4 linked regions of the Notamacropus eugenii genome follow. The protein of the gene in region 1 purifies or fractionates together with the protein of each later gene. This does not show direct contact. Links are inferred from orthologs where the notes say so. Each region holds a gene or a part of one and is shown in the gene's direction. Other genes may lie near its edges.

Evidence for each region.
Region 2: the proteins of LARP7 (region 1) and YBX3 purify together in Homo sapiens (affinity purification with mass spectrometry; 3 studies listed by BioGRID and IntAct, with this or other methods). This does not show direct contact. The link is inferred for Notamacropus eugenii from reciprocal best matches to the Homo sapiens genes LARP7 and YBX3.
Region 3: the proteins of LARP7 (region 1) and NAT10 purify together in Homo sapiens (affinity purification with mass spectrometry; 3 studies listed by BioGRID and IntAct, with this or other methods). This does not show direct contact. The link is inferred for Notamacropus eugenii from reciprocal best matches to the Homo sapiens genes LARP7 and NAT10.
Region 4: the proteins of LARP7 (region 1) and YTHDC2 purify together in Homo sapiens (affinity purification with mass spectrometry; 3 studies listed by BioGRID and IntAct, with this or other methods). This does not show direct contact. The link is inferred for Notamacropus eugenii from reciprocal best matches to the Homo sapiens genes LARP7 and YTHDC2.

The regions. Positions count from the first base shown.
Region 1 is NC_092878.1:117,255,331-117,262,310, reverse strand, and holds the start of LARP7 (la-related protein 7), read left to right. Parts: upstream 1-3,964; 5' UTR 3,965-4,127; intron 4,128-6,980. UniProt on the Homo sapiens protein: RNA-binding protein that specifically binds distinct small nuclear RNA (snRNAs) and regulates their processing and function.
Region 2 is NC_092874.1:199,786,144-199,793,463, forward strand, and holds the start of YBX3 (Y-box-binding protein 3), read left to right. Parts: upstream 1-4,305; 5' UTR 4,306-4,558; coding exon 4,559-4,784; intron 4,785-4,920; exon of another isoform or gene 4,921-5,036; intron 5,037-5,372; exon of another isoform or gene 5,373-5,432; coding exon of another isoform or gene 5,433-5,517; intron 5,518-7,320. UniProt on the Homo sapiens protein: Binds to the GM-CSF promoter. Seems to act as a repressor. Also binds to full-length mRNA and to short RNA sequences containing the consensus site 5'-UCCAUCA-3'. May have a role in translation repression.
Region 3 is NC_092877.1:17,332,535-17,340,477, reverse strand, and holds the start of NAT10 (RNA cytidine acetyltransferase), read left to right. Parts: upstream 1-4,925; 5' UTR 4,926-5,053; exon of another isoform or gene 5,054-5,374; intron 5,375-5,873; 5' UTR 5,874-5,887; coding exon 5,888-5,995; intron 5,996-7,238; coding exon 7,239-7,330; intron 7,331-7,943. Other genes in the region: CAPRIN1 (caprin-1), read left to right, coding at 1,343-1,407. UniProt on the Homo sapiens protein: RNA cytidine acetyltransferase that catalyzes the formation of N(4)-acetylcytidine (ac4C) modification on mRNAs, 18S rRNA and tRNAs.
Region 4 is NC_092874.1:347,280,654-347,288,147, forward strand, and holds the start of YTHDC2 (3'-5' RNA helicase YTHDC2), read left to right. Parts: upstream 1-4,477; 5' UTR 4,478-4,723; coding exon 4,724-4,931; intron 4,932-7,061; coding exon 7,062-7,152; intron 7,153-7,494. UniProt on the Homo sapiens protein: 3'-5' RNA helicase that plays a key role in the male and female germline by promoting transition from mitotic to meiotic divisions in stem cells.

The DNA.
Region 1 (6,980 bases):
GCCTAGGCATGAGCTGGGGAAAGAGGAGCCGCCTTTTCTGAATTGCCTCAGAATCACCACAGGGTGGCTCCCCAGTGTTTTGAATACGATGTGTAGCTGCAGTCATACATCGGTAAATCCTGTAGCAGAAAGCACTCTTGCAAAGCCACTATTAACTGACACATTAAATAGGTTTCTGTGTTCTGGGGCGAGGCCTAAATCGTAAATGGTGGATTTCCTACATTCCATATAGAAAGTATGGTGGGTTTTTTTCTCGCGTTCCCTGTAACAGTCAATTCATTTCTAGGACATGTTTTAAAGAGGAGTTCAAATTCTAAAATTCTATGATTTTACGCAGAAAGGCTAATAGAACAAGATTATTTTATCATTAAGCAAAGATTCAGAAATGGGGATATTTAAAGGATTGTTATAACCAAAGAACTTAAAACCAAATGCCCAACCTACTGATGTACACATATGAATTTTTCTTTTTTATATACAGGCTAGTCCTCTAAAAATAATCTGTTACTGGGCCCTTACTTGGAACCTGCCAGAACTCTCAGCCTCCACAGGCTTTCACGACTCAGGGTTACAGCTCTGCTAACAGAGTAGGGGTTCTTCACTTCCTCACATCTATGTCTATAGGGCTGAACTAGTAGAAACTGATTCCAAACACAGGTCAGCTATAAGGAATTTAAATAAAATTCTATATTTGAGGAAGAATTTTCTGGATTGAGGATTGTTTGGGAAGAGATCTATTTGTGATTATTTAAGTAAAATGCTTTGGAGAGGGAGATTAGATTGAAAATGGACCAGTTCTCTCTTGCTGCATGGTTTATTTTCAATCAATCAACATTTGTCTAATTCAATTGATTTAATGATTGATTTGGTTGATTGACATGTTTGCTCAATCAATGACTACTATGTGCTAAACAATGTATTGAGCACTGGAGATACAAGTAAAGAACGAAAGATCTACTTGCAAGACATTTACATTCTGACATGTATTTACAAATATGTTGTCAAAGGCTCCGTACTTCACAAAGACCAGATATCCATTTACTAGTTCTTGTAAAATCGCTGCTAATCATCAGCTAGGTGGCGCAGTGGACAGAGCACCAAGCACAGGGTCAGGAAGACTTTTCTAATGTGGCCTTGGACATTTCCCAGCTCTGTGATGATGGGAAAGTCACTTAAGACTATTTACCTTAGCTTCTCTTCTGTAGAATGAGCTAGAAAAGGAAATGGCAAACCTCTCCAGTATCTTGGCCAAGAAAACCCCAAACACAACTGAACAACAACTGTTCTGGGTGTTTTAGGGGTTTGAGTTTTCAAGATTTTTTTTTTTTTTGCATCCTGCCCTATAGCAATAGTTTTTTAACCTGGGTCTGTGAAGTTTTTTTTTTTTATGTTAATAATTGTATTTCAATGTAATCGGTTTCTTTTGTCATCCGATGGATTAGATTTTATGCATACAAGCCCAATACTCTGAGAAGGGGTCCTTAGATTTTGACATATTGCCAAGGGAGTCCATGACACATAAAAAAGTTAAGAAAATCTGGTCCAGGACAATAGGCATCTGTGGGCATATTTTCATGGGGTCCCTTAGCTCTGCCAGGGAAGAAAATTACATTTTTATTTTCACTAAACTCTATCTGAAATTTATCTTTTCCTTCCATTTGAACGTAGGTTAAAAAAACCCAACATTCACCTGAGAGGTGCTCTATCACACCAGACCTACCAAAGGGGACCATGACCCAAAACAGGTGAACCCCCTCTCTAAAGGATCTTTTGTTGTTGTTCAGTTGCATCCAATTCTTTCTGACTCCATTTAGGGTATCCTTGGGTCGTTTGCCATTTCCATCTCTGGTAGATCAAGGCAAACAGAGGTTAAGTGACTTTCCCTGTGTCACACAGCTGGTAAATGTCTGAACTCAGGCTTTCTTGACTCGAGGCCCAGTACTCCACCAACTAAGCCAGGTTAAGTGACGTGCCCAGGGTTTACTCAAACCTAAATCCACAGAACAAACACATTTGAAGAACCACAGACCCAGATGAAGTCTTAAGATTGTTCGTTCCTGTCTCCACATCATCAAGAAGATACATTAGTTTCTCTAAGTCCTTCAGGATTGACTTCTGCCTTAGTCCCTTAAGGATCTCAAAGCACAGAAGTTGGGTGGAGGGGGACCCCAGGTGTCAATACAGTCTAAAATACCCTTACTACAGAGATGAGAAAACTGATGAGCAGAATAGTGATCACACAGGTAATAAGCAGAAGAGTTGAGATTCTCTTTGGCTTATCCCCCACCCCTTGTAGTCTCTACCCCCTAACTCTCGGGTTTCCTTCAAGTGGCAGTGCCATTCAGTTGTAAGCTTGAGGGTGGGGACCATCTTTTGTCTCTTTTTATATCCCCAGGGCTTAGAATGGTGCCAGGCATTTGGTAGGTGTTTAATAAATGTTTTTTGACTGATTGCCTCCCAATTTATAGCAGTCAGAATTTGTGGCTATTCACGTAGTGCTTATAAAATTTGCAAAGCTTCTGTGTTAACTCCTTTTATTATCACTTATAGGGTAGCTAGGTGGCACAGTGGATGGATTGCCGGGCTGGGAGTCAGGAAGACTCATCTTCCTGAGACACTTACTAGCTGTGTGACCCTGGACAAGACACTTAACCCTGTTTGCCTCAATTTCCTCATGTATAAAATGAGCTGTGGAAGGAAATGGCAAACCACGCCAGAATCTTTGCTAAGAAAAATCCCAAATGGGGTCATGAAGAATCAGACACAATGGAGATGGCCAAGCACCAAGACCAATACTTCTTCACAGAATTCACCCCCCCCAAGACCCTGCAGTGAACCCACCCGCAACAACACTGAAATACAGTACACCCAGACACCCAAACAGTCACAAACAACACACAGATATATGCACACAACACACACAAGACACAAACAATACACTCAAACACAGCTACACACAGACACAAACAATACACGCAGATATTCACGTGCACACAACACACACACAAGACACAAACAATGCACACAGATACTCACGTGCACACAACACACACACAAGACACAAACAATACACGCAGATACTCACGTGCACACAACACACACACAAGACACAAACAATACACAGATACTCACGTGCACACAACACACACACAAGACACAAACAATACACGCAGATATTCACGTGCACACAACACACACACAAGACACAAACAATGCACACAGATACTCACGTGCACACAACACACACACAAGACACAAACAATACACGCAGATACTCACGTGCACACAACACACACACAAGACACAAACAATACACAGATACTCACGTGCACACAACACACACACAAGACACAAACAATACACGCAGATACTCACGTGCACACAACACACACACAAGACACAAACAATACACAGATATTCACGTGCACACAACACACACACACAAGACACAGAGATACTCACGTGCACACAACACACACACAAGACACAAACAATAGACGCAGATACTCACGTGCACACAACACACACAAGACACAAACAATACACGCAGATACTCACGTGCACACAACACACACACAAGACACAAACAATACACAGATACTCACGTGCACACAACACACACACAAGACACAAACAATGCACACATACTCACAGGCATGTAACACAGACACAACACACATAAATAATTCACACAAAGATACCCACACGCAGATAACACGTACACACGCCACACACGGACACCACACACGTAACAGTCACAAAGACTGAACACACACAACACACAGATACACACACAGCACTCCCCCCAACACAAACACACCGAGGACGTTCTGGAGGGGGATCACCTGGCTCGGCAGCAAGCCTCGAGTTTCGAATTTTTCCCGCGCAGGCCGATGACGCGCTGCTCCGCGACGAGGCCCCGCGCAGCCGCTCGCGTGCCCCGCCCCCGCCCTCCGAATCCACCAATCGCGCGGCTTCTTCCGGTCCTGGCGCGCGCGCTCTCGGAGCGACGCCTCCGGTCGCAGAGCGCGTGACGCGCGAGGCCCAGCAACTGGGAAGAGCGGGGAGGAGGCGACGGTTTCGGAAACTCGCCGCGTCTGGACCCGTTGCCTGGGGGACTGAACTGAGTAAGTGGAGAGGTCGAGACGCCCCACGCGGGATGTCCCGCGAGGGTCAGGCCCCGATCTGCTTTATTATTCCGGTAGACTTCCCTTCCCGCATCTTCCCAATTACCTTCCTCTAACCCCCCTACACTTCCCCTCAGACCCCCTCCTCCTGCCGTTTGTCAGGTCGCATGCGCAGACGGGGGCCGGGCGTCCCCGCCCCCTCGCAGTCTGGGGGGGCGGGGTCTGATCCCCGAAGACACGCCCATCTCCCTAGTCTATCTATAAATATTCAGCGAGCACGGACCTTGACCAGGCTCTGTGCATTCCCTGGGTTTCATTTACCGCCTAATCTTTCAGCACGCATTTATTAAGCGCCACCTGTGTGCCAGGTCCTGTGCAGTTAATCCCTTTCGCTTTTATTGGGCTCCTGCCCCGCCCGCCTTCATCCTGGCCTCCTGGCTGCCTTCAAGGCTCCGCCCTCCTCCCACTTTGGACCCGAAACCTGGCTGGGTCTGTGTGCTGGGTGCCTTCCCCTCGGTGCTTCCCTCCAGGTGGTCGGTCCTGTGTTTAACTGTACATATGTGTGTGGGTACATGTGCATATACATGCGTGTGTGTAGGCACATACGTGTATTTGTGTACATTTGTGTATGTATGCGCATGTGTGTATATAGTTCTGTATATGTGTATATATGAATGTGGTGTGTGCATGCGCATGTGCATATACGTGTATATTTGTGTGTACACGCATGTATATGTGTGTATATATTGGTGTGTGTCTATGTAGAACAGTACAGGACTCTTTTTTTTTCCTTTCTTTGCATTCCCAGGGCTTACCATGATGCCTGGCACAATATAAACCTTAAGGTTTATACCAAATGCTGGGTGACTGGACTTGCCTCCCTTTAATTTGCCCTTAATCAGTCCACGAGATTTCATGACACCTGTTTCAGACACTTAGCATTCTGTAGGTTTAATTTGCCATTAAATCAGCAAACACTTAGTTGATGTAATGGACATGAAGTTGTAATAAAAGTATTGAAGTCAGGAGACTTGGGGGGCAGCTGCATAGAGCTCTAGGTCTGGAAGACTTGAATTCAAATGTGGCCTCAGACAAGTTACTAGCTGTGTGACCTTCCAAAAGTCACTCAAGTACCTTTTACCTCAGTCTCCTCCTCTGTAAAATCAAAATAATAATAGCACCTGCCTAGCAGGGTTGTTGTGCAAGATTAAAATAACATTTGTAAAAGGCTTGATTCGTATTAAACACTATATATTATTATTATTCCCAGCTCCATTACTTTGCACTGGGCAAGAAGTTGTTCAGTCTGGTTTCTTTCAGTCATGTCTGACTCATGATCCCATTTGGGGTTTCCTTGGCAAAGATACTGGAGTGATTTGCCATTTCCTGCTCCTGCTCATTTTACAGGAAAAAAAAAAGGAAAGAAAGGCAAAAAAGAGATCTGCACTCAGGAAGATGAGTTTTCCTGAATCCAGGCCTGGCATCTCACTGCTCTACAAGTTCAAATGTGACTTCATTTAGTGCCGATGGGATCTTGGGCAAGTCACTCAACTTCTGCTTGCCTCAGTTTCCTCATATGTAAAATGGAGGTAACAAGAGCATCTACCTCCTAGAGTTGTTGTGAGAAATGGGATATTTGTAAAGTGTTTCGTACATACTAAGCATTACACAGGTGCTGACTGCTGTTTTTATTCATCCTGGGTCTGTTACTTGCCCAGCTAAGGCACTGAACAACTCAGGCTCAGTTGTTTTGCCTTCCGAGCTACAAAAACTTTAAGTATGAGATTGGTGATGGATCCTTTTCTTATCTGAGACGTAGCCTAGTCACATTCGGACAGATTCATCCCCAGCTTGACTGTAGAATGTTGAATTTTTCATACCTTGCTACTCAGGAAGGTCTAAGCACAAAGGCCATGATGTGCATTAATATACCCATACAGTTAATTACAGATCCTTGAAGGAATAAAGCAGGGTTTGCCTGGTATACTGGTGAGACACAAAAATTACTAAAATTCCATTTCTCTTATTTTTTTACTTCTTTCTGAAAAGTAAAATGGTCCAGAGCATTTGTATTGTTGAAAAAAGATGTCACTGAGATAGTCCCCAAGTAAATTCGTTTTAGCTATAATAAAAAAATTAAAATATAAATAAAATACAAACTATAAATAAAAATTCACCTAACTCCAATAAAATAGATTAGTGGATGAGATATAAGGGACAGTGTAGCAAGATTTTTTTTTAAAGAGTCATTAATTTCCTAAGTGGAAATAACTAATATGTTGTCAGAGACAACACTTTTGTTGAGCTGTGCATATATTGGAATATACTGGAAGCTGAAAGAATAGGAACTTGAGGGCCCATACCACAAGGGAAAGTGGTACTGCCAATTTGTCTGCTGTCAATGATATAAAGGAAATGTGACATTCCTTTGTAGAAAAAGATAGCATATCTGTATATCATTTTAAAAATAGATTACTGTACCTTTTGATTTCTTAGACTTGTTCTTTCAAGTTGAAGGTAGACTTCATCATCGGTATATGGATTTTTTAAAATAATATTTTTCCCAATTACATGTAAAAACAGTTTTTATTAGCTTTTTAAAATTTTGATTTCTAGGTTCTCTCTCCCACTTCCCCCCTCCTCTTTCCCTAAGACAGTAAGCAATTCAATATAGGTTATACATGTGCACTCATGCAAAACATATTTCCATATAAATATGTTTTAAGAAATATTCTTACAGTTATGAGAGCATAACAGGTCAGTACCTGTCTTTATGCTTACCACGTAGAATTGTCCTGTCTTTTTTCTGTTTGCTACTTAATAGCAGCATGACTTTCAAAAAGTCACATAACG
Region 2 (7,320 bases), on another chromosome or scaffold:
AAGGCTTTGGCTTGTAAACGAATTTGGTCTTCCATTTCCCTGGTCAAACATGTCTCATGCAGAACAAATGCTTGTCAATATTAAACAACAATAATTACCTCTTTGGACCAGAAGGCCAATGAATATTGGCCAGTCTCCAGTAGCCTGATTATAGTTAATCAAACTTAAAATCAGAATAATATTTATCAAGTTTTTATAGGAAGATATTGTAGTATTCACTTGCCTGCCAGGGTTGTTATAAGGATCAAATGAGATAATATTTGCAAAGTTCTGTGCAAACCTTAAAGCACTACGTAAATGCTAGTAGCTATTGTTGTTCAGGGATTTCAGTTGTGTCCAACTCTTTCTGACCTAATTTGGGGTTTTCTTGGCAAAGATACTGGAGTCATTTGCCATTTCCTTGTCTAGTTCATCTTACAGATAAGGAACCTAGGCAAATAGGGTTAAATGATTTACCAGAGTCCTACCACAGCTAAGAAGAGTCTGAGGGTAGATTTGAACTCAGGAAGATGAGTCATCCTGATGCTAAGCCCAGTGCTTTCTCTACTGTAGCTTTATTCCCTACACAGCAGCTAAGCTAAAACATGACTTGCGTGTCAGGAGGTTATGATCTAACAAACGTTAGATCATAATAGGTATTATTATATCTATTATACATAACATAGGTATGATCAGTAGTATTACACGTAGAAGAGAGTTCCTTTTACATTTTTTGTGTTTCTGATTCGTTTTCTATAAATATATTTTACTTTTTGTTATCTTAGAATACAAGAATAGGATAAAAGAGAGAATAGTTCCAGTACATGCAAAACCAACAGACTCATGATGAAGGCAATTTGGTATTATTACTCCCCAAAACACTTTCTATTCATTTTTAATATGTATCTATATACTTATATGTGCATTTGATGTCCCTCTCTCCTCAACCTAAATTCTAAACTCCAAAAGAGCAGAGACCATTTCAATTTGTCTTGTATCCCTAGAGTTTAGTGCTTCGCCTGGCTTATAGTAAGCCTTAACAAATACTTGTTGATTGGGAGAAATTTATCATTTTAAAGGATTCAAGTCTTTTGGGGTTTCGTGGGAGACCTTTAAGCAGGATATTTTAGCATATTTTCCCCAGGCAAAGTGGAAAACACAGTTGAAGATAAAGATGGCTGGACTTCCAGCTTCTCCACCGGTTCTTATCTTTTATAGTTAGTAAATTCTGTTATCCACCCTAAGCAGTTTCTTCAGCCACCAAAATGACATTAGAGCCAAAGCTATTTGGGAGTGGTAGGTAGGAAGAAATGTGTGAATTAGTTTTGTTCTGGATAAATGAATCAAAGAAACTGGAGAAGGCTTCAAAGTTTGCAATTAGTTCCCAAAATTAATTCCAGAAAAGTAGCTAGCTTTCTCTTCCTGGATTTAATGAGGATGACTAGCTTGGAGAGTATCTTGATTCACAATTTCTAATGTCCAATGTCCTTTGTTTTGAAACTCTCAATTATTGTCATTTAATTGTGTGTTATAACTCTATCTACAGACTATAATCTTTCTGAAGGCAGGGACTGGTTTTTGCCTAAACTCTATTCCACTTCCCCCCCAAGACAGCACAGTTCTCTTTAAACTATAAATCTTTGTGGCATTGCAGTTCATCGAGTATAAATTCTTTTGAAGTGCCTTACTCTGTCAGTCCAACTTTATTTCTCACTACTGTTCAACACGTTTCTCTATCTCCTTCCCCTCCCCCAGGCAAGACTCCTCACTGTCCCACAAACAAGTCATGCCTACTCCTCCCTCTGTGCCTTAGATCATGTTACATACACTCCCTCCCTCTTTCATACTACTCAACAACCTACAACCCACACTTATATAACACTTTAAAAAGCCCTCTCCTCATGAGTCTGCCACACAGGTAGTATAATTATTATTCCCATTTTACAGATGAGTAAACTGAGATTCAGGAAAACAGAGTTATTGGTTTAATAGGTGGCAGAACTGGGGATATTATCTAGGTCTTCTGACTCAATACTTTCCCCTCATTCATAAATTTTACTCATTGTTCAAGGGCTTTCCTCTGACTTCAGGTACTCACAGTGCCGTTTCTTCTCTATATACTTGTAACACTTGTACTGCAATTTACCATTTAATTATATACCATCAAGAAGGGGATGGTCCCATTGGAGCATGGGAGATATAGGGCAGAGGAGGCAATCCTTTGCTAATGGATACATAAAACCAAGGGGTTTTGGTAACCTTTCCTCCAAAAAGGGAAAAAAAAAAAATCCAGAACTGGGAGAATAAGTCACATGCCCAGGAAAGATAATTCACTAAATAGACTTCAAAAGGAAAAGTCTTTCTGTCATTTGTCAAGTAACTCTGTGTGTGCAACTCTCTCAGACTTCCAGCAAAGTGGTGGGAAGAAAGGAAGGAGGATTGCACATCAGTGGCTGCTCATACATGGCAGTGAGAGCATGTTTTCTCTGATGAACTTGAGCCTACACCTCCAGTACTTGACTCTTCTTTGTTTTTATTGCCCCGAGTCCAGGTGACTGAAAAGTGATTTAGACATATGGCTTTTTCTTCCCCTTGGCAGCAGCCTTGTGAGTTTGAGAAGTCAGTAGGAGCTGGGTGCTGCTTGTCCAGCTGTCTTCTGCAGCTACTATGATGCTCCTTGGAGAGGATGATTACTGACAGGAAATTAAGCCCAAGCCTTGCTATGGTCCACCAGAAGATACAAACCTAGTATGAGCTGCTCAGACAGTGCAGATTCAAGGTGGAAATGAAATGCTTGCTTGGCAGGCAAGACCACCAAGTGTATCATGTTTCAGTGTTTCAGGATGGTGTAAAAGGAATTACTGTTTCATGCTTTGTTAACATACGCTTGTATCTTCTGTGTTTTGAGGATTTCTTCTTGTGGAGGGAATAGCTTATTCCTGGTCTACTTTGCATCCTTAAAATTCATTTTGGGGAAAACCATAGACAGACATGAAAACCCCTAAGATTTAAGAGACTTTCCACAGGGATCCAGAGTGGGGGGTTGTAATGTGCTGGGATTGGAGAAGAGCTCCACTTTTATTTATGGGGCTAGGATCTCTAAGGACCGAACTCTTTGTGTACCCAAACTAGTGATCCTGAGTGAGCTTTTCATGCTTTCTGAAACATTGTTGTTCCATACATGATAATTTTTTAAGGTTTAATCCATTCATTGTATTTTATCCCCAACACTTATCAAGTGCTTTAATAGAAGAGTAGAAATGGAAGGATGTAAATCCAAATCCCAAGGAGTTAGATCTAGCAAAGAAAAACAGCAGTCTACAAAGCAGCAATAGAGTGAGTGTGTGTGTGTGTGTGTGTGCGCCCCAATTTACAGATGAATTAAGCGACTTGTCCACGACTAAGAATGTAGCAAATGTCAGAGGTGGGATCTGAGCAGAAATCCTCGGATTCCAGTTAGTGTCATGTCCTTGAAATTTTCCTTGAAAGTGCCTGATTTCTAAATTCCTAATACTAAGATCCTGTGAAACTGGACCGTTTGAGGATCTTTCAGAAAACATCTTAAAAGAGGTAGTCTATGTGGCCAGGGCGCTGGTGTCCTGAGTGCAAGCACAGTCACTCCTCTTACCTCCTCACTTCCAGTAATGGAATAGTGGAGGCAAGGGGCCCGGTACTGAGTCATGGAGCGGCTCTACTTCCTCTACTAAGGACTTTGATGGGCAAACCACTCAGTCTCTCTGGAACTCAGTTTCTCCAGTTGTATTTTATCCCCCAAACTTATCAAGTGCTTTAACAGAAAAGAGTCGAAATCGAAGGATCTCAATCCAAATCTCAAGGAGTTAGATCTACAAAGCGGCAACATTATCAATGTGCGTGTGTGTGCTGGGAGGGAGGACAGCTCGGGTCTGATTGCATCCCGTTGGGACGCAGGGAAGGGAATTCAAATCCTGCGGTTTGGCCTAGATGAGCTCCGAGGTCCCCCTCCCCACACACCCTCCAGCGCTGGGGACTGCGGCTCTTCGACCTCGCCCGTCCCTGCGAGCAGCCCACGCTTAGAAAGGAGACGAGAAGTTCTCGGGCTTGGGGTCAAGCGGTAGCCTCGACCAAGACTCAGAACTCTAGCAGGAGTCCCGTCCAGGAGGGAGACGATGCTTCCCCCAGGGCCCTGGGCGGCCCCTTTAAATGCTAATGAGGGCTCACCAGGGCCGGCAGCCAGAGAGCCCGAGCTTCTCCTCCCTCCTCGGCCCCCCCCCCGCCCCGCCCCGCCCCGCCCGGCCCGCCTCTTCCCTCCCCCTCCCCCCCCCCCCCCCCCCCCTCTCCCGAGCACCTAGAAAAACTTGAGCGGGCCATTTTCCGGGCAGTAAGATCGAGTGCGCGCGCCGCCCCGACAGCTCCAGCCGCCGCTGGCAACATCCCCGCGTCCACGGCTGACGCGAAACCGGCCCCGTCTCCGAGCCCCGGGCTGCCTCCCCCGACATCTCCAGCAGCCGCCGCAGCCCCGCTGCCGGCACCACCACCACCACCACCAACCGCCGACCAACCGCCGCGGGTGGCCGAGAGAAGAGCGACGGACGGCGGCATGAGCGAGGCGGGCGATCCCACCCCCCAGCCCCAGGCCCCGGCGGCCCCGGCGGCGGCCCCGGAACCCGCGCCCAAGAGCCCGGCGAGCAGCGGCGCCCCCGCGGCCGCCAGCCCGGCCGCCGCCGTCCAGGGGAGCCACCCCGGCGGCGACGCGGCCCCCGCCCCGGCCCCCGGCCCGGCCGCCGCCTCCGCAACCACGGAAGACCCGGAGAAGAAAGTTCTCGGTGAGAGCCCGTAGCCCCGGGCGCGTGGGGCACCGGGGTCGCGGCTCCACGTGGGCGGTCCGCAGGAGTGCGGAGCCGAGCCGCGAGCACGTGCTGCCCAGCCGGGCTCCGCGCGTGTGAGTGTGCGCACGTGTGGGTGCGCGGCTGTGTGCGTGCGTGCGTGACGAGCGTCCGCCCCCTCCCCAGCCCCAGGGGCGCGCACCCCGAGCGGTCCACATGCTCTGCTCCATCCGCGCCCCCAGCCAGGTTCAGGTTGTGGGCTCCGGTCGGCCCCAGTCCTACCCCTAGAGAGGAGGGAGGAAGCCTCGTGGAGGGGCTTGTGAGGGAGGGAAAAGCCGGGGAAGGGGCTCGAAGCCCACCTTCCCGTGGGGAGCGCCGAGCGCGCTTGTCCTGGAGGGCAGCTGGGGGAGGGCAAGGTGCGTGTGTCGGGCCCTGGTCGCCCTTTCCCTCGTGGGATAGGCGCCATTTCTTCTCCTCGTCCGAGCCACGCATCTTAGCGACCGAGGGGTGTTGCTTTCCTGTCGGAGAGTCCTTCCTAACTCGCTGACACGAGGCTTCCCATCTTCTGTTCTTGGCCCTCCCCCACAGTGAGAATCCCCCCGGCTAACCCAGCCGATTGGGCTCCCAGCCCTCCGCTTTAGGACCCGCATGTGTGTCACAACTGCTGCCACACAAAGCCCTGTTAATGTGGATGGTAGTCAGCTTTATCCTGGAATGTCTGGCAGGAAAACGGGTGAGAGCTGGCGGTTGGACGGGAATAGAAATCCTTTAAAGACTTGGCCACATGGTGCTCCCCCTCCTCCCCTCTCGTTACCCTCTGTTGACGGTGTTTAGGGCTGTACTAAGGTGTGTATGCTTGTGTGTGGGTGGCGAATAAGATGACTAAAGGGTGTGTATGTGCTGTCATTCACTCTTTTAAACTCAAAAGTTAGTCTGTGGGTGTGAGATGCCGGTGTAGAAAAACATATGCCACTCCCCTGATACTTCACTTTTCTGACCTGGCTTCTGGAGCTGTTAGTGGGGGTGGGGTGGAACTGGTGAAAACCTGAGTAAACAGTGAAGGATTGGTGGATGAGTATACCCGCACCCCGAATGGTGCATCCAGTGAACATCCATTGGGCGTAAGAAAGCTTGATTAAAAAGTTAAGTGTACATCCCTTTGGATAGGCAAGAAAAAAAAAAGCTTGAATGTAATTCAAATTGATGCTATTTGATTTGCCTAAAATATGCCTCATTATCCTCCTGGAAGGCATCTGGGGGAGTCTCTTAAAGGGGAGGCAGGGGAAGGGGCAAGGTGCGTGTGTCGGGTCCTGGTTGCCAGAAAGTGTCCCTGGGTAATAAGTCCTAGGAATTTGTTAGATAAGTATTTTTCCTGTATCCCTAACTTATCCCCTATGGGCATTTTGTTCTCTGCCTCTGAGCTTCGGTAAACAAAACTTGGGTGGAAAAAAAAATGTGAAATCATCAACATGGAAATCCTGCAGATACACACCCACATACCCTTTTTTTGAGGGGAGGCTCATGTGAAGATGATCTTCCCTAGATGGCATGGGGAAGGTGTGTATGTGTATTGGACTTGGAGAAGGGGGTTAGGTTTAGGGTAGGAAAAAAAAAAGTTGAACCTACAATGTTTTTTTCTAGCAGTAAGGACCTTTTTTCCCTCTACATGTTAGATCTACTCTGCAGAACAGTATAGTGATAATGCTATGATAGATGTAACCTAAGCTTCATGATGTTATGTCCTTTAGTAAAGGGATAAAATAAACCCATAACTACAATACAAAATATTCTAAGAGAAATGTGAAAATAAAGTGTTCACAAATTTCTGTTTCTAATCTAGCCTCTAGTAATAACTGTATTTGCAAAGGAGAAAGTGGTGAATGAGATGCTAGAGAAAAGATTGTTATCTTAGTTGTCCTCAGTCTTCATGTTTAAATCTGAATGTTAAGATGATTGCTAGTTAAATTAAGGACTGCTTCATCATATTTGAGGGAATTGGTTTGAAAACAGTTTGGATGGATGGATTCAGACTTGTGGCATCTTTTCTTATGTCTTCAAACTCACTCAACTTCTCTTAATAGACAGGAGTTCATGCTTCCTTTCCCTCACTCAGACAGATGAAGGGATTATTGGCTAAAACCCCACAACTCTAAATCTTTTATTATAAGAATGGTTAATAGATACACTTAATTCAAGCCATTGAATTCAGCTTGTCATTCTGAATAAGCCCCTGATTCTGTGGGATTTCTATATAGTTTATGCATTTATACTCATTGTAGAAAGACAGCACAGGTCTTTGCCAGTTGCAAGGTGCCTGCTAAGACTGGTGTAGTTTTCTAACCTTGATAGATTCCCACACTATTAGGTTTAGGACAGATTAAAGATTTTGTTTCAATTGTGACTTAATAGCATATACAAAATAGTCTTTGTTCTGATTGTTTTCTCTAACACTTCACTTAAATGAAATTTCCAGACTTCTCAGTTATTGAAATCACTTACCCAGCACTTGTTTTGTGTTTATATTGAGGACTGTAGA
Region 3 (7,943 bases), on another chromosome or scaffold:
GCTAGTAGTTTAACTTTGTTTAAGTTACCCACTGCATATAAATCTACCGGTTTCATGAATAGTACAGGCAAGTTCATAGTAATTTAAGACTAGTGAATAATTTTCCTTACATCCTCCCCGTGAGGGGTAGGCAATACAGGGTCATTTTTTCCTTTTTTTAGAGACCCTGGAGGCTCAATGTCTCATCCATAGAAATACAGCTATTGAGAAGCACAGTGGTCATGTGGAGTGACTAGAGAGCTGGTCTTACAATGAGGAGGACCTGGTGTGGAATTCTGGGTCCTGTCACTCTTGAGTGACTTGTCACTTAATGTCACTGAGCCTCATTTTTCTTCATTTTAAAATGAAAGAATTGCCTATCATAGTAGGTATTGACATTATGATGACCTTAAAATGAGAGGTCTGTAATGTACTGGGCAAACCTTAACAAGTCTTGCATAAATATCAGTCTTTACTGTTACATGACAAAGTGAGGATTTGAACACTGGGCTTCCACTTTAAAGTCTGCCCTTCTCTCTGAGAGACCTTCTGAAAGGGAGTTTACAAGTGAGTGGGTGATGAGAGGGCTGTGCCCCAGGATCACTTTCCAGCTTGGTGGTAGGGGAAGGCTTCAGAGAACACAGCTGTTTGCATTTGGTCTTTGGGGGATTGTTCTGGATGAAAATGAGAGCAAGAGCCTTGAGGCAGAAAAGGTGACCATAGTACAGTCTGACTGATGTGTGCCAAGTATGTTGGGAAGAGTAGCGTAGTCATTGGTGAAAATGTTCAGTTCCATTATAAACATCTTTTGTAAAGAAGAGATGAGTTGAGAATTAGTGGGGTAGCCATGACAGATGGGTGAGTATGCCACAGGGTATTCAATATTTGCATCAGGCTTATTTTCTTTTCTCTTGTCTTGGGGTGTTTAATAACTAGGAGCTAGTTAGCTAAACAAATGAAAGGAACTCGAGTTAAAACAATCCTGGTCCTGATTGTAATAGGACAGAACCTAGGTTTGTAGCCTTGTTGCACAGCCACCCAATCCTACTTTTAAGTGAATGCTGTGCATTTTCTTCTTAAAAGTTACTCTCTTTTCCTTTTGGTGTTTATATTGGAAAGTATTTGCTTTGTTTTTGTTTTTTTTGGAATGAACAATGAATATCAATGATCAGTTGAGCTGAAGAGATTTGAGTAAACATGCACAGGGAAATCTGTAAAAGAAGAAATCTTCAATACATGGAGAAAGGCTTTTGAGGCCTGGCATTTCATGCCTGTGTCTATCTTTTGGGATTTTGTCTTGAAAGAGAAATTGAAATACCAGTGTGTGAGAAGACCTAAAAGCCTGTTTTGTTCTGTTCTACAGGTCGTGGAGGGCCCCCAAGACCCAACCGAGGGATGCCGCCAATGAACACTCAGCAAGTGAATTAAACTGGTTCACAGGATTACGTTTAAAACGCCAAAAACACACTGGCCAGTGTCCCATAACATGTTACCAGAAGAGTTATTATCTATTTGTTCTCCCTTTCAGGAAACTCATTGGTAAAGGGACTGTTTTCACCCCATAAAGACAGGACTAGAGTTGTCAGCTTTATGTTACCTGGATATGGAAGGAAACGATCTTTACTCTGCATGTTCTGTCCTAAGCGTCATCTTGAGCCTTGCACATGATACTCAGATTCCTCACCCTTGCTTAGGAGCAAAGCAAAACACACACACTTTTGGGGTGATCAGGTCTCCATGGTTATAATTGAAGTGGCTTGGAAAAAAAGCAAGATTGACTCATTTTTGGCATTGGATAAAAATCAGCAAATCAGCCCTAGAGTTGTTGTTTTGATGGTAATTGACAAAAACTAAAATATTTCCCATGAAAGGAAGATGGAAAGAGTGGAGTGTGGTTTGGCAGAGCGACTGCATTTCACCGCTTTTTCTGGTTTAAATTGGAGCGATGAACGTTTAGATGCATACTAAAGATGCATGGGTCCCTAATTACACAAATAAGGCTGACTACTTTTGATACAGCACTATTCATCACCAGGCCAAACTACTGTGGTTAAAAATATATACACATAAATTGCTTTGTAACAGCTGATATTGTACAAGACAAAGCCAAAATGCAAAATTAGGCTTTGATTGGCACTTTAAAAAAATCTGCAACAAATATGGGATGTAATCTGGATGGCCGCTTCTGTATTTAATGTGAAGTATTTAGATACCTTTTGGAACACATTTAACAGTTTCTTTGATAGCAATGACTTTTGTAAGGATTGGTACTATATATTTATCATTCCTTATGACATGCACATTGTCTGTCACTAATACTTGACCTTGCTGTATTGTCATCTAAGTAATTGGTACAGGTACTGATGGAAATCTCTAATGGATAAACATAACACTTTGGGTCACATGTCTCTCTCTGCAGCCTGAAGGTTTTTAAAAGAAAAGGATATCAAACGCCTGCCGCTGCCGCCCTTTAAAATCGCTATCTTTTGAAAAGCACCAGGATGTGTTTGGATCGATTTCCCCTTTTAAGGGAAATGACAGCCAGCAGTTTCAGTTCTAATGGTATAATTAAAACAAATAAAACGTGTTTATAAAAATTGTATCCTGGAACACTGGTGTTGAGCAGCTGACATACGCAGTTGAGATCATAGAGTTGTTCATTGTCTCTGAAGTTTCAGTTATCTCCTGTTCCACTGAGGTTTTCCTACAGCTTTTGTTGTGTACCTGCATTTACTGCTTTCTCTTGAATTACCCACATGAATGGAGTTCGGTTCTTCTTCAAGGCTTTGGTCTTGCCCACAATAGTGATCTCTTCCGTTACATGAGGAATCCCCCCAGGTTTCCTGGGGGTGCCCAGTGCAGTAGTGACTTAGCCTCTCTCATGCTATGTTGGATCTCCTGTGTGCAGTTGGAGTGCTAGCTGTACTTCGACGTGCCTGTGGACTTCTCTGCTGCTTGCTGTTGCATCCCACTTTGGCTTCCTGTTGAATTAATCCCATGTATTAAGCAAAGGCTGCTAAGTTAATGATACTTGTAGTCCAGAAACTGGATTTTGTTTTCAGCCTTCAGCTCAGTAATTTGACGAGTAGGTTTTCAGTTGCTTTAATTTTTGAAACCATTCTTAAAACACTCATTGTTAGAAAACTGGACTTTTGCTGACCTTGTAATCTACTAAAATGATAGGCTATTGAAGGACTCTTGAGAACATTCCACATTCAGAAGTTTTGTAAAGGGGCTGGGGTTGAAGGGCGGGGGGGTGTCTTTAATGTTTATTTTAAAATAAAATAAGTTCCTGTCTTTTCTCATTTTTGGTTGTGGTACATCTTATTGGAAGGGTTATCTGTTTACTTTGATAAGCAAGAAGGCTTCTTGGCCAGTTTTCTCCCCTAATTAAATCATATCTGGCAAGGATGTACCACAACCATATATAAGTGCTGATAAATATAGTGGATTTTATTAGTAACATGATAGCTAACATTCCTATGGAAAAAACTTGCTGCTTGTATAGAAGGTGCCTTCACAGGGTTTGTTTTAAATAATATTTAGGGCATTTAACATGATGAAATAGTGCTGTCTTCCCCCAGGGATGGTATCAGGACTCTGAGGTCTGTCAGATACACATGCATGTATGTGCACCAGCAAATGTACAGCTTTTCTTTTTGGGGGAGGGAGGGCGGGGAAGAGACGACCTGTTGCACTTAAAAACACAGTTTTTTTTTCCCCCACATAACCAATTCATGTCATTAGAAATTTTTAAGCTTCATTAAGGTCTGTATTTAAAAGCAAGGCTATTTTTATTAAGCATGGTGTTTTAAGTAGATGCCTCATCATGGCATGGTGGTGACCTTGTGTTTTTAAAGGCTACACCAACTATGAGGTCTGTCAGGTTCTGTCAAAGGAAAAGCCTATGTTGAACGTGCGTATACAATGACTACTTTGCCTAAGAAAATGCGTTGTTTGGCCCATTTTGATTGTAAGGTCCTCTGAACTCCAAGATCATTGTTGAAGTATAGCTTGCATATTCATAATTGCAGAAATTGTCTAGCAGGAATTGGTTTAAATGTTTACATGTTGTGGTCGCATTGCCCTAACAAATCTGTTGAGTTTTTCACGTCAGTCTGCACCCACTTGGGTCTGTTCTCTTCACCAACAACAATGGAAAAGTCATCTTTAGGCAGCTCCGTTTTTACAGCAGGAAAACGTGTATTACAAAGTCAGTGATGTCCTGGTGAATCCGGAATTGGTATAGATTATGGATGTGCACTAAACAAGTCCTCTGACTGGGTGGTGGAGCATCTGTTTTATTTAGCGTGGTTGAAAAGTGTCGTTGACATACCTTGGTCAGGACTAACTTTGTATCCCTCAAAGAATCTGGAGACTTGACTAGTAACTCGTGGTTGAATGTCCTCCCAACAGCTCAGCAGTCAGGAGCTTCCGAAGCTTGCGTGTGTCCCTGTTGTGCGTGCTACAATGTTGCCAAGAGGCTTGCACTTCCTTGGAAACTGTCTCTCTGGAGCTCGTTAGCACAAGTTGTTACTGAAAACTTGCTGAGCGGGTGCAGGAGGCGGTCCGTGGGGACCTGAGGGACGAAGACGGAGGAGTGGGGGGCAAGAAACACCCTTGTTTAGGGGCCACGGCTCCCCTCCCTCGGCTGTGCGAGCCGACCATGTGCAGTGTCGGCCTTCTGTCCTGACGCGGGGGGTGGCAGGTTGGGGTTCCGGTGCTCAATGAGTCCGACTGTTTGTGGCCCGGACTCGGGAGCAGGGAGGGGAATGCACGGAACCAGCTCGGTGTCACGGGCGGGCCTGGTGCGAGTCGTGAACCCGGGGAGACCTGGGGCGGGGGAGCGGTGGTTAGGAGCCACCACGCGGGCTGCCAGGAAGTTCCCCTGGGGACCCCCAGAAGCGGGGCTGCGGCTTCCTCGGACGGGACCCCGGGGACGGCGAATGCAAAGGCCTGGAGGTGGGAGGAAATCCACCGTCCCTGTTTGAGCAGAGAGGAATACTGGGAAGGAAGGCTAAAAATCCCGGTGGTCTTCGAGCGCGAGACTGAGTCGGCGCAAAAAAAGGGAAAGGTAGGACGCCAGACCGGAGAAGGCTTTCGGGACACCGAGCTCTGCGGAGGAATTCTCGTGGGGCCCCGCCGATACTGGGGGGTGACGTCACTGGAGGGCGACGCGATCCTGGTAGGTCCCCGTCGGGGCCGCCCGAGCGCGCCTGCTCACGAGGACATAAGAGGCGTGGCCTGCGCGCCTTCGCTCTAGGCCGCCTCCGTGACCACCTCTGCCGAGGGCCCGGGGGCCTTCCTCGTGGCGCCTGCGCACGAGCGGTAAGCTCCACGTGCTTCCGGCTGGCCCACCCCAAGCGGCTTCTCGCAGGCTGTGCTCGCCCGGGAGGTAACGGGGTCGGGCGGAGTGCGGGGGGGACCGGAGCGTCCGTGGGCGTGTCCTCTAGGGGATCTGTCGGCCTTGGAGCCGTGACCCCCGCCCGCCTCGGCCTCCGCTCCTGTAAAGTAAGGGAGGACGGCGCGGCCTTGCTGTTCCAGCCCCTGCTCCTGTGAGCTAGCCTGTGATGCCACCCTGCCGCCCACCCCTGACCCCGGGCGCGTCCCAGCGATTGCGGGCGGGTGCTTCGTAACACCCCCACCCCAGCCCCCTTGGGCCCGGTGTTTCCAAGCCCCCCCTTGCCCTGCCTCAGTTTCCCCATCTGTAAGGGAGGCAGATGACAGACACTCCCGGGCTGTTGGGGTTTGTTTGGGGGGGTCTTTACTCCTTGCCATAAGCGCCCCCTTGTTTCCGAAGCTGCCCACCTTGGGTCGGTGCCAGGGCCGGGAGGTCCGGCCGGCCCTTGTGGGGGGCTGACTCAGTTTCCCCCGTGTGCCCGTTTCGTCCTCAGGGCCCTCCTTCGCCATGCAGAGGAAGAAGGTGGACAACCGCATCCGAGTCCTCATCGAGAACGGCGTGGCCCAGCGGCAGCGCTCGCTCTTCGTCCTGGTGGGCGACCGTGGGAAGGACCAGGTGAGCCCTGGCCGGGAGGACTGACCCCGGGAACCCCGGGGTCCTGGACAAGCCCTGTGGGTGACGGGCCGGGTGGGAGGATGGGGGGGCGACTGACCCCGGGAACCCCCCGGGGTCCTGGACAAGCCCTGTGTCTGACGGGCCAGGTGGGAGGATGGGGGGGGACTGACCCCGGGAACCCCGGGGTCCTGGACAAGCCCTGTGGGTGACGGGCCGGGTGGGAGGATGGGGGGGGGACTGACCCCGGGAACCCCGGGGTCCTGGACAAGCCCTGTGGGTGACGGGCCGGGTGGGAGGATGGGGGGGGGACTGACCCCGGGAACCCCGGGGTCCTGGACAAGCCCTGTGGGTGACGGGCCGGGTGGGAGGATGGGGGGGGGACTGTCCCCGGGAACCCCCCGGGGTCCTGGACAAGCCCTGTGTCTGACGGGCCAGGTGGGAGGATGGGGCTGGGGGGGGGCTGGCTTCTGATCCCTTCTCCGAGTGAGGACAGAATGCCTCAGTTCCCCTTGGCTCCCTAAGGCTGGAAGGGACCTTAGAGATCGTTGATCCCGGAGCCCTGGTTGTGTAGGTGACAGAACTGAGGCTGGCCAGGTTCTCCTCCCCTCCCAGCCTAGCCTCCAGCTCGGTGGCCCCTGTTTCAGTAGCTTTGGGCTCTCTTCAGGCTTCTGACTGAATCACTGTGTGCTGGGGGAAGCCTTCCCTCTGAAGAGGCATCACTCCACCATCTGTTAACGGCCTGCCTACTGTGTGCCAGGCACCGGGGAGGATCACCGTCCTTGCTCTCTGAGACATTCTGTGGGGAGATATAAATACAGACTAATGGGGGGGGGGAGCGGAATCAGACAAGGCTTCTGGGGAAAAGCCCTAAAAGAAGGTGAGGAGGGAGAACATTCCAGGCACGGGGACAGAGCAGGTGAATTTAGATGCCTTTACAACTGAAATCTTAATCTCCAGATTTCTCCTCTGCCTCCTGCGTTTCCGGAGGCTCACCGTTATACTCATTATCACTAACACACGTTCCTCTGTTTTGTCTTTATGTGGTGAGCTCCTTAGGGGCAGGAGTGGTCTTCTGTCTCTTTCTGTATCTGCCAAGCAGCGGTGCCTCACGGGTACTAGGTGCATAATGAAAGCTTGTCAGTTGATGGATGGTTGCTTCTTCAGGAGTTCCCTCCCCTCCCTGGCATAAATGGTCTCATTCCGTTTCCCATCCTGATCCTGTGCCGTCTCCTCCCTCTGGCAGGTGGTCATACTCCATCATATGTTGTCAAAAGCGGCTGTGAGGGCCCGGCCGTCTGTGTTGTGGTGTTATAAAAAGGAGCTAGGCTTCAGCAGGTGAGTTTGACCCCTTTTCTCTAATCCTTATAATATCTTCGTAGGCCCAGCGCCTCCGAGGTTGCCTGGTGCAGTCCCCCTCCCAATTTTCCAGGTTGCAGAAGTGGAGAATTCAAGGCTGCATGTGGCCTCTAGGTCCTCAAGTGTGGCCCTTTGTCTGAATCCACACTTCACTGAATAAATCCTCTTCCTAAAAGGATTTGTTCTGTAAAACCTGGACTCAATACAATAGCAGCATGCAAGGACCTAGAGGCCCCATGTGACCTTCAGGCTGCAGGTTTCCCACTCCTTCCAACCATTAGAAGAACAACAGTAGCTAGTGCTTATAGGGTGCTTCGCAAGTAGCATGCCTCATGTGAGCCTCACCAGAAGCCTCAGGAGATAGATGCTGTTATCATCCCCACTTTCCGTGGACAGAACTGAGGCAAGCTGTGCCCAGGTAACCCTGCCCACGGTTACAAGCATGGCAGGTGTCTGAGCTCAGATTCTGCTCAGTAGGTGGTGACCTGGGCAGATTGCACCCTCCCTTATGTAAAATGGGGGTGCCCACAGCCATTGAGAGCATCAGGTTGGGGGCTGTGCCACCTTCCGCACGCTCCATAGGTGCCGGCTT
Region 4 (7,494 bases), on another chromosome or scaffold:
CAACTGAATATCTGGTTCAATAAATTGTTTCTTAGAGAAAAGTAGTTTGCTTTGCTGAGGTTCTAAGCAACAGATCTTTTTTTAATGGCAAGGCAACCATTCTTTTAATTGAGGAGAATCACAATAATGTAGCTCTAAAGCACAAAAAATATAGCAAAGGCATCTTTCTCAATTTTTATCCTCTATTGTTGGCTCCATCGTTTAATTCTAATAGAGTACATAGCATTTCTTCTTCAGTGTTTCCAGAATTCCTCCTATAGGCAATAATGTGACATGAAGTGGAAGACCATAAAAATGTTTGGTGAAGTTCCTGAAGAAATTGTATGAGAGCTAATGTGGTGTTTTTTCTCTGCCTACATCTTTCCTTTACATGCACATCATCTATATCATCAACTGAGTACTATATACACACAAAGATTGTAAAGCCAATAAGGTCCATCACATTTATTTGCCTCCTGGTATCTCCCTGATTTCTATGACTAATACATTTTATTCACTGAAATATCAATTATCTTTTTCTAGGAAAATGTTTTAGCAGAAGGCAACATTTCATTCAAAGTAATTGAAAGAGAAACCTCACTTCATTTGACTATAATAACTACTAAAGTAAGAAAACTTATGAGGAATATTATGATATATTTAATTTAAACATTGGATTGTTTTCTTGGCTAGGTGTATTAATTCCTTTATGTCACTTGTTCTGTTTCCAAATATTTTGGTTTTATTCCCTTTATAAATTTAAATGTGTCATAAATTGGAGAAGGTCTCCACTGAGAATTTGTAGAATATCTTCCAAAACCTTAATGAAAGTGTCAGTATACCATTTCTTTGTCTTGAAATAAACTATGCCATTTATTGAGAAAAATATAAACCTCAAAGGGAAAGTGAGGAGGAACTTGTGCTTTACATGCAATTACTTGTTTCTGGATATTCAGACCACTGCATGCTGCCATCATTGTTTTCACATCCTGTCTGTCTATTCTTCTTATAATAATGTAGTCTATTAAATGCCAATGCTTTCTGTGAGGGTGCATCCATGAAGTTTTAGCAGATTCTATTCCAGTTGAGATTTACAAAGTGGGGGTGGGGCATCCATTGCTTATACAAAAGCTGACTGAAGTTTTCTGGGTTATATGCCAAGAAGAGGTTAACCCCCAGTAATGCAAGAGTAACTCCATTGTCCCCTTCTATAATATAAAGGAAATAAATTGCCCTGTGACAATCACAGGGAGGTCTCTCTCTTCATCATTGTTGGCAAGATTCTTGCCAGAGTCCTCCTTAATAGGCTGATTCTTTGCCTGGAAGATGGTCCTCTACCTGAGAGCCAACATGGCATCAGAAAGGGCTGGGGAATGACTGATCTGGTTTTTAATGCCAACAACTCCAGGAGAAATGCCAAGAGCAGAACAGATATCTGTATACAACATTTGGCAAGCTGACCAAGGCTTTTGATACTGTCAGTGTGAAGGTTTATAGAAAATTATGTCAATATTTAGTTTCCCAGAGAAGTTCATCAATATTGTACATCATTTTCATGATAGCATGTTTGCTTGGGTTCTGGATAATGGATAATGGTGCTTCTGCTTTCCCAGTCACCAGTGGAATGAAACAAGACTGTTTGTTTGCTCCCATGCTTTTTGACATGTTTTCAGTAATGTTGTCAAACACCTTCAATGAGGATGAACATGGCATCAAGGTCAGCTACCACACTGATAGTAAATTATTCAACTGAAAAGTCTAGAAGCCAAGACTAAAGTAGAGGGACGGTTGGTGCATGATGTTCACAGACAATTCTGTACTCAATACAGCCTCTGAAGCTGAGATACAATGAAGTATGGATCAATTCTCTGCTGCTTGCACCAATTTTGACCTAAAAGTTGACCTGAAGAACTTTGGAATAGATTGTGTGACATGGGAGATACTGGCACAGAACAGCCCAGTATAGTGTGCCCTCATCAAAGAAGGTACTGTGCTCTGTAAGCAAAGTAGAATAGAAGTAAGTCATAGTAACACATGAGATGCACAAAATTTAGAGAATTCATGTCACATGTTCACATGCACTATTTTTGCCTGAACTATGGTAGATAGTGATGTAACTTCAATCCTCTTCAAGAATGAAGGACAACAACCAACCAAGTAACAAAGTTCCCACTCAGCTTTGGTGTTTTCAGAAATGCTTAAAAGTCCTTCATTCCATTAAAGATCCATTCCTCCCTGATTATACTCGGCTTTGTAGGGTGTGCTATCATTAGCTATAAGCCTATTATCTTTTGCCTTTTATAGTAATTTTACTCCAAGAACTCTTCTCATTTTTCCATTGAAGCTGTCAGATCTTGTGAAATCCTTACAGTCATTCCATAGTACTTGAACTGTTTCTTTCTAATCACTTGATATATGTCTCTATTTCTGTCTCCAGACATGGGGTACAGCTAGTGCAAAGGCTTGGCGATAGAAGATGGAATGTCATATGTGACTTCAATTTCTCTAGACTGCAGAAGGCAAAAAGATGAATAATGCAAACAAAGCTAGAGAGGTAAGTTAGGGACATATAGTTAAATTCTTTATAATATTTTATTTTTCCCCAATCACATGTTAAATTTTTTAACATCTTTTAAAGTTTTGAGATCCATATTCCATCACTCTCTTCCTCCATCCCCTTCCCTCTCCACAAGACAGTAAGCAATCCAATATAGTTTATATATATTCAATGATGTAAAACATTTCCATATTAGTCATTTTGTACAAGAAAACTCAAATAAAAACATGAAAGAAAATGAAATGCCGCATGTTTCAGTCTGAATTCAGGTGGTATTAGTTCTCTCTCTGGAGGCAGATAGCATGCTTCATCATGAGTCCTTTGGGATTGTCTTGGATTATCATATTGCTGAAAATAGCCATGTCATTCACAGTTTTTCACTGTACAATATTGCTGTTACTGTGTATAACATTCTGCTGGTTCTGCTCACTTTATTTTGCATTAGCTCATGTAAGTCTTTCTAGGTTTTTCTGAAATCATCCTGCTTGTCATTTCCTATAGTACAATAATATTCCATCACAATTATATACCATGGCTTGTTTAGTCATTCCCCAACTGATGGGCAACTTCTTGATTTCCAATTCTTAGACACCACAAAAAGAGCTGCTATAAATATTTTTGTACATGTATATATGTCCTTTTCTGTTTTTTATAAAGATGTCCTTTATAGACCTAGCAATGGTATTGCTGGATCAAAGAGTATGCACAGTTTTATCCCTTTTAGGCATAGTTTCAAATTGCTCTCCAGAATGGTTGGATCAGTTCACAACTCTACCAACTATGCATGTGTCCCACTTTTCCTACATCCCCTCTAATATTTATCATTTTCCTTTTCTGTCATATTAACGAATCTGATAGGTATGAGGTGGTACCTCAGAATTGTTTTAATTTGAATCAATAGTGATTTAGAGCATTTTTTCATATGACTATAGCCTTGTCCTTTGTCTGAAAACTGCTTGCTCATATCCCTTGACAATTTATCAATTGGGGAATGACCCATTCTTACAAAATTGACAAAGTCCTATATACATTTGAGAAAAATGGCCCTTATCAGAGATACTTGTTGCAAAAACATTTCCGTTTTCTGCTTTCCTTCTAATTTTGGTTGCATTACTTGTGTTTGTGCAAAACCTTTTAAACTTTATATAATCAAAACTATCTCTTTTACATTTTATAATGCTCTCTATATTTCCTTCGTTCATAAATTCTTCCCTTATCCATAAATCTGACCAGTAAACCATTCCATGCTCTCCTAATTTGCTTATAGCGTCAGCCTTTATATGTAGACCATGTCCCCATTTGGACTGTATTTTGGTATATGGTGTGAGATGTTGGTCTACACCTAGTTTCTGCCATGCTGTTTTTCCAGCTGCTGCATCAGATTTTGTCCAATAATGAGTCTTTGTTCCAAAAGCTTGGATCTTTGCCTTTATCCTAGGCTAGATTACGGTAGCAATTTACTATCATACAACGCGTACCTCATCTTTCCCACTGATCCACCACTGTATTTCTTAGCCAGGACCAGAATGTTTTGATAATGATTGCTTTATAATCAAGTAAAGTTCTTTAAAAAACCAAACAAAAGAGTCCTGATTCTGAAGACGTTAGAGAACCAAGAGTTTATTGAATAGGGGAATGACTCGGTCACAAGAAGAGGTAAGAGAATCCTTTAAGACTCTCAAGGAAATGTCAGAGGATGAGACCCCCTAGAGGACACTAGAGGAGTCAGGAGAGGAGCCAGGAGGCGCAGTCACTGACCGGGGGCTCTCTGGACTCGTTTCTTTAGCCCCCACTTTCAGGGAGGTGGATCATGCATAAAGCATGCACAGTCTCTACATCCCAGGACCGCTCCCAAGCTCCCCAGCATCCTCGGAGAGCTCCCTTGCCCCTCCCACCCGCCGTGACGAGCTGACGTAAGACTACGTCACGACGCCGCGGCGTCCGGTCTGGGCGGCGCCGAAGTGGCCGAGAGCTGCGGCGCCCCGGCTAACTGTGGCTGGGCACCCTGCGGCTCCCAGGCGTGCGGGGCCCTGTAGTCCCCCGGTTTTCGGTTGCCCCCGGCCCCCGTCCCTCTCCATCTTGGCGCCCCGTAGGCCTCCCCCGAGGCTCGGTCTGGGTCCCGCCTCCCCCCGCCTCGCGCCCCATCCGTCAGTCAGCGTCCCCTCAGCGAGGTCGGCGGCGGCTCCCATGTCCAGGCCGAGCAGCGTCTCCCCGCGGCCGCCGGCCCCGGGCGGCGGGGGCGGGGGCGGCGGCGGCGGCGGGGTGTCCGCTCAGTGCGGCTCGGGCTCCGGCGGCGGCGGCCGGGCCAAGGGGCTGAAGGACATCCGCATCGATGAGGAGGTCAAGATCGCTGTCAACATCGCCCTGGAGCGCTTTCGTTACGGAGACCAGAGGGGTGAGTGCGGCGGGCGTCCGGCCTGGGCGCGGGGCTGGAGGCGGGAGGCCCCGAGGGGGCTGGAGGCGGGCCTTGGACGTGCTTGGGCTCGCGTCCGCGGGGGCTCCGGGGACCTCCGCAAGCTCGGGACCCCTTAGAGGTGGGGGTCACGTAACGGGAAGTCCGGGGGGCACGGCCCGAGGAGGCAGTGCACCGGTCAGATAGCAGCAAGGGGGAATTGGGCAGGATGCACCGCGTCTGTCCAGCTCCGCCCGTTCTACCAAAAGTGTATTTATTTATCATTCGGTGCAGTGAGAAGCCGCGACCTGTCAGGAAGACTAGCGGGGCTCGGACCTTCACCTCTGGGAGCCGGGCTCGTCCCTCGAGTTTTGGTGCCCGTATCTGTCAGGTGTGGAGGTCGTGTGTGGAAAGAGCTGAAGTTTAGGGCTGCCCAAAGGGCGTGAGAGTGCGCCTTCCCTCTGGGAGAGAGCCTCTTGTCTAAAAAAGCCTTTTTATAACTGTGTTCCTTATCATTTTATATATTTTATTTTATGTATTTGAACCGTTATTCTGAGAAAGGGTCCACAGACTTCACCAGACTTCCGTAAGACCCCCCCCCTGTAGAATCTTCCTGTGCAAACAGTCACTTACTCAGAGGTCTTGAACACGTCTGTGCTTCCATCAGTGTAGGGAGCTCTTGATAAGTGTCTCCCCCTTCCAAAGCAGACTTCAGAAAGTAGCCCAGTGCTCTGAGATGACTTGGCCAAGGTCACACAGGCAGAAGGAGGACCAGGACCGGAGCTTGGCCGAGTCCTCCTTTCTCCTCACCTTGTAAAAGGCCCAGCCCAACCAGCCTTGATTTTCCCAGTTGTACCCATGCTTCCCCACCTCACATGCTTCCTTCTCCCCGCTTCATTTCACCTCCTCTTTTAGGTGTTATTAGAATGTCAGCTCCTTGAGGGACTATCCCCTTTTTTTTATATCGCCAGCATTCATATAGTGCTAAACGATAATAAGCACTTAATAAATGCAAACTGTGCAGTAATTCTAAGTAACGCTTTATCTAGGACATGCATGCAACAGTTTTTTTCCTTGAATTATCTCTAACATGACCTCCCCTAGTGACTTGCATTCACTAAATGTTTTGAATTGTCAAAGTATCTAAATGTTTGGGTTGACATTTCTCCATTTTTTAAAATATGAGCCCATGTCAGAAGTTCAAGGAAGAAGAATTTTCCCAGACTTCATAGAACTTAGAATCATAAATTATTAAAATTGGAAGTAAAAAGTGGAAGTACAAATAACTACAGTGCAATATAGAGAATGTGTGTGTATATATCTATCTAGATATATCTATCTATCTATATATACGTATATATGAGAGAGAAAATGCTACAGAGAGAAATGACTACAATGCACTACAGAGAATGAAAGTATAAAGTGTTCCATCAGGTCAGAAAAGGGATTGATTACTTCCAACTAAGGCTGACTTCTTGAAAGAAATAACACTGATTTAGGCCTTGAAAAATAGGTAAAAATTGAAGAGTTGGAGCTAGAGAAGAAGGGCATTGTAGCTGTAGAAACACTGTTTAAAAGGATAGAGATAGGAAACCAATGTGCATGTTTAGAAAGTTAACAGGTAGCTCAAATGAAGCTTCAATTCTGAAAAGACCTTTAGGGTCTCCTGTTGCATCCTGGGCCATCTCCAGTCATCTTGATGAATGTCTGATCATTGGACCCAGAAGACTCAGGAGGAGAAAGTGAGGCTGGTGACCCTGAACAACCCTCCCTCACCCTTAAAACAAAGTCAACTGCAAGTCGTGTCATCATCTCCCTGATGTCATGGTCCTCTTCTGGAACTAAGGACAAACACGACACAACAAATTCTTTTGGACCATATTGGTGGTATACATATAATTGCTTTTTCATTGCCAGGCTTAACATTTGGGTGATGTGTTTGAAGTAATGATATAAGGCCTGACTTAATAGTAAATGCTTATTGAAGTGAATTAATTACTTGTACTTACCATCATGTAAACATAGTAAAGATAAATGAGGTTTCAAGTATATTATTTTAGCCAAAGCTAAATAAAAGAATTTTTTTCTTCCTCATATGTGACCATTTAAAAGAATACATTTTTCTTTCTCTAGAAATGGAATTTCCTTCTTCTTTAACCAGTACTGAAAGAGCTTTTATTCATCGATTAAGTCAGTCTCTTGGTTTGGTCTCTAAAAGCAAAGGGTAAGTTCATTTATCTTTTCTTATCAAAGAGAAATTTCTGGCTACTTTTTATAGTAATATATATCTGTGGAAGGGGGGAGGGAAAGAGAAACACTTCTTTTACTGTGTCTGACTTTTCTGTATACCCATACCCATATTTTCTTCCTGTTTCTTTTATCTCCTTCCCAATTTCTTCTTCCCCAGGGGGAAAAAGGAAGAAAGTAGTTAAATCTTACCTTAAAAGAGAAAGATGGTCTTGACTTGATATCAAAATAGAAATGTTAAAACAGGAAGTGATTTTGTAAATATAGCTAGTTGAATCCCCTTATTTTGCAGATGGGAGAAATAAAACCTGAGAAGTGA